Linked DNA regions of Rattus norvegicus. The protein of the gene in region 1 interacts with the protein of each later gene in a pairwise test. Links are inferred from orthologs where the notes say so. Each region holds a gene or a part of one and is shown on either strand. Other genes may lie near its edges. The genes, in order: Xrn1 and Zfp36.

Region 1 (3,810 bases):
ATTATTTTTATTTTTCTGGTAGCACTAGGAAATAAACCCCAGACTTCTCTAGTCTTAGAGTTTGAATCCAGAACCTCATTCAAGTGCTTTATTGTAAGCTATTTCCCTAGCCCATTTTGATACAGACTGATACAGAATTTTGCAACTTTAGATTAACAAAGAATAGGGCTATAAATACTTTCTTAGTCTTTAAAATATTGTTATTTATAAAGACCATATTTAATTTAAACTTGACTGTATAGATATATGAAGATTAAGTAGAAATAGAAGGAAAGAGATGTATAAATGAGATGCCTTTACCAGCTCCAGGACTGGACTCCATGATAGTAATAGTGTAAGATCCACTGTATAGCCTGAACATAACAGGCAGCTTGATCAGCCAGAAACTCACTGAAACAGAAAGAGGCATTTTCAGCACAATGTTGTTTTCTGCAGATAGACCAATGTGTTCAGTGCATTTTTAATACCTAAAAAACTATAAACAGAAAAATTTTAATTTCTCTGAAATCCCATTTTGTCACATAAAAGGCTGTTTACCATTTTTCTAAACCAACTACCAACATAGTCGGTCCTGCTGTGTGTACCTAAGTCATCGTATGCCCTACTTTTGCCTTAAGAGTTTGGAGTCATCTAATAAACTTTCTACGAAGTGGTACCATCATCCTCTTAATTAGTAGGATTGAGAATAAACACAGAGTTCTCAGAAATCTCACAATAGCATTTACAACAACTTTTGAACAAGAGTCCCTTCTGGTCTCCTTTCTCAAAAGCCAAACATCATTATTAAGATTTGGGTTAAACAAATCTTCAAATCACCATAACAAAATAAGCCATAGTTTAAAGTAAAAAATTAGAAATCTCTTATCTTTGTATTTCCAGTAGGAATATTTATCTTTAAAATGTCTTACTATTATTAACTTGTTTATTTGTGTGTGTGTACACGTGCTATGATGCTTGTGTGGAGGTCATGAGATAACTTTCAAGAGTTGGTTCTCTTAGGTATGCTTTAAAATATGAATATATTACCTTCTTCTTTTGAACAATATTTCCTGATTGCTAGAAAGCTGAATAATGAAGAAAACCATTCTTATCCCCCACTAGCAATTGCTAGCTGTTTCCGTATGCTGCTTTACAGTCACTGCTAAGATGATGCTGTGCTATCTTGCCCTGTGGCTTTAGCTTCCCAAATAGCTCAGACTAGCCACACACGACCACCCCAAAGTTAGTCTTTGTTTACCCAATTTAAAAGGCTATCAGCATCTTCCTGAGTTGTTGGTGACTTTCTGCAATCACCATTTAACAGTGGTGCAGATTCTGGAGTTGAGGAGAGGAGAGATGATGAGTCAGAAGTTTAGAGCCTCCCTTTTTTTTTTTTTTTTTTTTTGGTTCTTTTTTTCGGAGCTGGGGATCGAACCCAGGGCCTTGCGCTTCCTAGGCAAGCGCTCTACCACTGAGCTAAATCCCCAACCCCTAGAGCCTCCCTTTTGAAGACAAGATCTTGCTATGGAGCTGAGCTGGGCATTTACACAGCTGCTAGGGATGAGAACGTGGTCCTCAGGTAGTGTGGCAAATGCTACCCACTAAGTTATCTCTGTAGCTCATCTTTTCAGTAATTTTATCATAGTGATAGAACACATGCCAGAATTACTATCAGGAAATGGACTTTGAATTTATGAAACCAATAAATCTCACACTACATCAAAATCATGTTGTTTTCTGAAGAACTTCAAAATAAAAGTCATCAAAAGCATACTCAGATACTACATCGACCCCCATCTTCGTCATGTAGTATGTTCTTTTATATTGTCTAAATTCAGTTTCAAACAGATCATCATCTTCAGTCTCATCTTCAAAATTATCTGTGAGAAAAACCAGAAAGATGTGACTGATAATCATGAATAGTGTTTGTGCTGTGACGCATGCATATCAAAGCTGATGCCGAGAGACTACTGTAGGGATGGATTCGGTTCACCACTGCTGGGTTAGCACTAATGAAGGAAGGCAGACAATGACCACGCCAATGCAATACACTAAACAAAAGCTTGTACTCACCTCTAGAAGCTACTCCTTCACCTTCTCTTTTGTCTAATGCAGCCCAACTTAAAGAATTTTCCTGGCCCTATAAAAAATTTTAAATCATCATAAGATGAACACTAAGATATATCTCTGAGTCAGATGTATAAAAGGGAGATTAGAAAAATACTAACTACAACTGAAATGATCTTTTTTTTTTTTGGTTCTTTTTTTCAGAGCTGGGGACCGAACCCAGGGCCTTGCGCTTCCTAGGCAAGCGCTCTACCACTGAGCTAAATCCCCAACCCTTTTTTAAAAGATTTATTTATTTTATGTATATGAGTACACTGTAGTTGTCTTCAGTCACATCAGAAGAGGCACCTGGGTTCCATTACAGATGGTTGTGAGTCACCATGTGGTTACTGGGAATTGAACTCAGAACCTTTGGAAGAGCAGTCAGTGCTCTCAACTGCTGAGACATCTCTCCAGCCCTGAAATGACCTTTAAAGAATACACTGTAGCAGCTTACTTTAAAATAATCTTCTCATTCTCAAGACTTTTGTCGTTCCAACCTACTATATCTATATTCATTTTCTGCCCCACTTTTTCTATATATATTTTATGATCTTAACCCTTTCTCTCTTGCTTTTGAATGCCTAGCTACTGACACTCATAAGCTTTTCTTCGTGTAACTCTGGCCTCTATGAACTTTATGCTCATGGGTCCTAGCTGCATGTATCTCTGGTATACATTCCTGGAAGACTGGAGAAGGTTAAAGACTGACCTAAGGTAGAGGAGATAGGAGTTATTAACATGTAGGTTTTGTGAATCCAGGTTCCCTTTCAAGTTTTTTCTTTTCTTTTCCTTTCTTTCTATTTGAGATAGCCTTACTGTGTAGTCCAGGCCTGCCCTAAAGGTCAAGATACCCAAGCCTCAGTTCCCTGCTGGCCTAGAGGTCTCAGAAGGGATCAGGAGTACAAGGCCAGCCAGGGCTACATGAGACCTGGTCTTGAATAAACAAGCAAACAAACAAATAAGAAAACTCCTAAGGCTCCAAACAAATATAAACTCAGTGCTCTGCTGTTTTCAAATGACACAACTTAAATAATTTATTCTAAAAGTTAACTTATTCACTTCTTTAAAACAAGTTTTTTATCTTATATGTATACAAGTGTTTGTCTGAAGTGTTTGTATGTACACAGCATGCATTCCCAGTATGCACAGAGGCCAGAAGAGGGTGGCAGATCCCCTGAAGTCGGAGTTATTGTAAGTTGCCATGTGGGGACTGGGAACTGAACCTGGATCCTCTGTAACTGCTCGTGACTTTTGAGCTATTTCTCTAGACCTATTTATTGGCTTCTTCTTCTTCTTTTTTTTTTTTTTTTCTTTTTTTCGGAGCTGGGGACCGAACCCAGGGCCTTGTGGTTGCTAGGCAAGCGCTCTACCACTGAGCTAAATCCCCAACCCCTATTGGCTTCTTTTTTTTTTCTTTTTTTTTTTCTTTTTTCTTTTTTTCGGAGCTGGGGACTGAACCCAGGGCCTTGAGCTTGCTAGGCAAGCGCTCTACCACTGAGCTAAATCCCCAACCCCCCCTATTGGCTTCTTAATAGAGGAAAAATATCACTATTCCTTAGAGGTGAAAATAAAAACTTAATTTTTCCCTTAAATATGTATTTGTGATATGAGAGAAACACAGAGACAGAAGCCAAAATAATTTTAGATGTTCATGGAGAAGAAATGAAAATGAAACAAGCCCCCTCATAAGGAAAATGAGAAACAAGGAATAGTAGTTTTACT
Region 2 (4,583 bases), on another chromosome or scaffold:
GCTGAGCGTCCTCGTCACGGCTTCCAGGAAGCCCCCTTCCCCCGCCCTAAGCGAGTGAGTCACGGGCAAGCGGGAGGCCGCAACCGTGCCACAGCAGCCTACGGCCCGCCCTGCTCACGGGACCAGCCCAGGAAGGCCCCTTGGCCCCAGAAAGCGCTGCACCAGGGATTCCCCACATACACACACGCGCGCGCGCGCGCGCACACACACACACACATACACACATACACACACACACACACACACACATACACACACACACACCCCTCTCCTATGAGGCAAGCCAGTGAGAAGCCTGGCAGAATCTCCCTATCTCGATACAAGTGCGCAACGCACCGTGCTAGAACTTCCCGGCATTGTAATTACACTCCTGGCAATGATAACCCCCATACACAAGAACAGTTTTTCACTGGAGATATCTTTGAAATAACACTTTTTACTTGGGTGTGGCAGCTATTTCTGTAATCCTAACACTACTTGGGTGGTGGAGACTGGAGGATCGCGAGTTCCAGGCCTGCTAAGGAGACCCGACCTAAAAACAAAACCCTTACAGACCTCGAGAGAGTTTAAAGTTTGCTTAAAGACTGCTTGCACTACAAGAAACCCATTCAACGTTGAAGGTGGCCCATATTTTTAATAGAGGCGAGCTTCCTCCCTAATAAAAGACTCAAGCTGTTACAGCCTTGAGCTTCGGAAGCAAAACCTCTTAATTTAAAGTGCAGCTTGGGTAAATGGGCTCTGTCCAGCCTTGCTAGACTTGGAAGGGCGCTGCTGAGCGAAGTAAAGTTCTGAGCGGTCCCTACCTGAGCCAACTGTCTTACAGGTTCTGTGCCTTCAGGTTTTAGTTTTTATTTCAACTTCCCTTTTCATCCTTCTGTAACCGGCTTCCTCACTGAGATTTGTGTCCCAGGCCCCTCTCCCTATTGTCTCCCCACTCCGTATAGGTCAGAACCAGGATCACAACCATATGCCAGTCTTTTGTTTCATGTGTATTCCTGGCTGTCCTGGAACTCGCTCTGTAAACCAGGCTGGCCTCGAACTCACAGAGATCCCTCTGCTTCTTCCTCCCAAGTGCTGAGATTAAAAGTTTGAGCCAACATCTGGGGCCTTTTTACTTTTTAAGACAAGAGTCTCACTAAGTTACCTAGGCTGCCCTAGAACCCACAATACAGTCGAGCCAGGCCTTGAAGTCCCAGACTCCTGCCTCAGCCTCCCCAAGTGACTGGAATCACAATCCCAAACCAGCGGGTCCAGTGTGAATGTCTCTCACTGTCTCTTTGTTTTTCTCTCAGCTTCTGGCCATCTCTGTCTCTACCAGCTTGTTTCTCCCCGCCCCCGTCTGTCTCACACGCACACGCCCTCTCAGTCTCTGCCCTTGTCAATTGTCCCTAGAGCCCTGCCCCCACTTCTGCCCCAGTTCTCTTCCCGACTACCTTCAACCTCTGAAAACTAGTCAGACGCCCCACTCCCATCACCACCAAATCTGTGGTACACAGCCCTCCCCACTAACCTCGTGGGAGAGGGCTGTGGGAGAGCCAAGTTCAGGCACATTGTGCATGCTAACCAGCAGATGGGCGGAAGGGGCCTAGTACCAGGCCGGCCGGGCTACGCCGCGGGGGCGCGTCCGGGAAGCTCTCGTGGCCACGCCCCCGGGCCGCCCCATAAAAGGCGAAAGCTCCTGCGGCGGTCCCACAGCCTGACTTCTGCGAACCGACTGTCGGTCTCTTCTCCATGGCCATTCGCGCCACCATGGATCTCTCTGCCATCTACGAGGTGAGTACTGGTTAGACAGCACTCTCGGATCCTCGACGCACCAAACTTAGGCCCCGGACGCCTCCATTCCTTCTCAGACTAGCCCTAACTGGCTGGAAGTGAGAGAGGGAGCCCGTGAGCCCGGCGCCTCGGTCTAGATACCGGCGATCCCCTGGGGACGGAAAGCTGGCGCACTGCTGTCACTCGCGCAGGGCGGAAGCGGCCCCACACCTGTCTAGTACCCTTCGCTGTCCATGGCGCGGTTTGGCGGCCAGGCAGGTGTTGAAGTTGAGCGGGGAGTTGACCCGGTCAGAGTCCTAGAGAGATCTGGCCTCCTGGGTCAGCTTTGGCCGGCTTCTCTAAGTTGTGAAACGAGCGCCCGATGGGCGGTCTTATCCGGGGAGGTCTAAAGGCCCAAAATTGGCGAGCAGCCGTGGTGCTTTGATTTGGGGGTACCCTCTCTCGATCCATCGGGGATACTGGGCTCCCTAGATCCTTCTGGATTAGCTTCAGTCATTTGTTAACACCCAAACCTCTGTAGTCAGGTTCTCCCTGAAATTTGTGAGCCGGGTGGGGCTCAGGCTGAGAACCCACAAACCGGAATGACAAGCTCGTGAAGTGCTTTACCACAGGGGCGGGGCGTCGTCACCTTACCTTTTCTGGTGGCCTAACCGAACCCTATTCTCCTTAGAGCCTTATGTCGATGAGCCATGACCTGTCACCCGACCACGGAGGAACTGAGTCCTCCGGAGGACTTTGGAACATAAACTCATCGGACTCCATCCCATCTGGGGTCACCTCTCGCCTGACTGGCCGCTCCACTAGCCTGGTGGAGGGCCGAAGCTGCAGCTGGGTACCCCCACCCCCTGGTTTCGCACCCTTGGCTCCCCGCCCGGGCCCTGAGCTGTCACCCTCACCTACTTCGCCTACTGCAACTCCCACCACCTCCTCTCGATACAAGACTGAGCTCTGTCGGACCTACTCAGAGAGCGGGCGTTGTCGCTATGGGGCCAAGTGCCAGTTTGCCCACGGCCCGGGTGAACTGCGCCAAGCCAATCGCCACCCCAAGTACAAAACGGAACTCTGCCACAAGTTCTACCTCCAGGGCCGCTGCCCCTACGGCTCTCGATGCCACTTCATCCACAACCCTACCGAGGACCTGGCTCTCCCTGGCCAGCCCCATGTGCTCCGACAAAGCATCAGCTTCTCAGGCTTGCCTTCAGGCCGCAGAACCTCACCACCACCTCCAGGCTTCTCTGGCCCTTCCCTGTCCTCTTGCTCCTTTTCGCCTTCCAGCTCCCCACCACCGCCTGGGGACCTTCCACTTTCCCCTTCTGCCTTCTCTGCTGCCCCTGGGACCCCTGTGTCTCGAAGAGACCCTACCCCAGCCTGTTGTCCCTCCTGCCGAAGGTCTACTACCCCTAGCACCATCTGGGGGCCCTTGGGTGGTCTGGCTCGGAGCCCATCTGCACACTCTCTGGGATCCGACCCTGATGATTACGCCAGCAGCGGCAGCAGCCTGGGTGGGTCAGACTCGCCTGTCTTTGAGGCCGGGGTGTTTGGGCCTCCTCAGCCCCCTGCACCCCCAAGGCGTCTTCCCATCTTCAATCGCATCTCTGTCTCTGAGTGACAAGTGCCTGCCCAGTGTGGATCAGCTAGATCTCAAAGAAGAGGGAGGGAACTGCTCGTTGCTGTGGGGACCTGGGGGGACTCCTCTAAGTCCCTCCTCCTGGACATTCCAAGTTGCATTAACCCATTCCCCTGGTGCTGGGCTAGGGCAGGTCCCTAGTTTGCAAATTCAGTGTTTGGGTGGATCCGTTCCTAGGGTACCTGAGATGTAGCATGTTTGAGGGGTACAGTTGACAGTTGATCTTCCAGGTCTCAAGTCTTATGTTGTTTCTGAGATAGGGGATTATTACGGTACCCCAGGCTGGCTTTGAACTCAATATAATCCTGCCTTAGCCTTTTCCAAGTTCTGGGGTTACAGGTATGCACCAGCCCCTCGGAAACTCTGGTCTCCTGGAATCTTAAGTGCTGTGAAGAGCCGGCTCCCACAATACTATCCTAATTTTTACTAGACCCCGAAGTTCAGTGTCCGGTGGTTGTAGCCTCTCCTGAGAATCCTGGTGCTCAAATTTCCCTCCCAAAGCAAATAGCCAAAGCCATTGCCAAATCCCTTTTCCCCCACGCCCCTGCCCCAACCAATGGACCCTTTATTTATGACGACTTTATTTATTGTAATAAGATTTTATAGTATTTATATATATTGGGTCGTCTACTCCGTTTTTCTTTTTGTAATGTTAAAACTGATACTGTATTAAGTATATACTATAATATATTAAGTAATATATTGTTACCGTACAAGTCTATTTTTGTGGGTTTTTTTGGAATTTTTAAATAAAATCTTGAGTGTGAACTGTGATGAAATTTGTTTTTTTCCGTGGTCCACAGCCTTGTGATGGTGGGTAAACTGACCTCCAGACCTTCCTGTGAGCACTGCTGCCGGGGGGGGGGGGGGGGGGGGGGGGCGCTTACCTGGCAGGAAGTGACGTTAGCCCGGTTGTTCACCTGAGGAGGCGTGGCGGGATGAGGTCACCCAAAAGGAACAAGGAGAGCTAGTTCTCTTGGCTAAGGGGTGCTCCAGGCCTGTCCCTCCGGCTCTTGACCCAGCTCGGGCAGGGACAGGATGTTTCCGTCCCCACAGGGCCAAGGAAGGAGGGAGGGGTGGGGCGGGGCGGCGAGGACGGAATGTGCCGGAAGGCGAGCCCGGGCGGCCAGGGTCAGGGGTCACCCCAAAGCCGGCCCCTAGGGGACTCTGAACCCCGCGTAGA

What was found.
Region 2: the proteins of Xrn1 (region 1) and Zfp36 interact in a two-hybrid assay, tested with the Homo sapiens proteins (2 studies listed by BioGRID). The link is inferred for Rattus norvegicus from reciprocal best matches to the Homo sapiens genes XRN1 and ZFP36.

Annotation. Positions count from the first base shown.
Region 1 is NC_086026.1:105,428,062-105,431,871, reverse strand, and holds part of Xrn1 (5'-3' exoribonuclease 1), read right to left. Parts: intron 2,120-3,810; coding exon 2,053-2,119; intron 1,860-2,052; coding exon 1,754-1,859; intron 391-1,753; coding exon 301-390; intron 1-300. UniProt on the Homo sapiens protein: Major 5'-3' exoribonuclease involved in mRNA decay. Required for the 5'-3'-processing of the G4 tetraplex-containing DNA and RNA substrates. The kinetic of hydrolysis is faster for G4 RNA tetraplex than for G4 DNA tetraplex and monomeric RNA tetraplex.
Region 2 is NC_086019.1:92,796,217-92,800,799, reverse strand, and holds Zfp36 (mRNA decay activator protein ZFP36), read left to right. Parts: upstream 1-1,691; 5' UTR 1,692-1,731; coding exon 1,732-1,773; intron 1,774-2,443; coding exon 2,444-3,382; 3' UTR 3,383-4,172; downstream 4,173-4,583. UniProt on the Homo sapiens protein: Zinc-finger RNA-binding protein that destabilizes several cytoplasmic AU-rich element (ARE)-containing mRNA transcripts by promoting their poly(A) tail removal or deadenylation, and hence provide a mechanism for attenuating protein synthesis.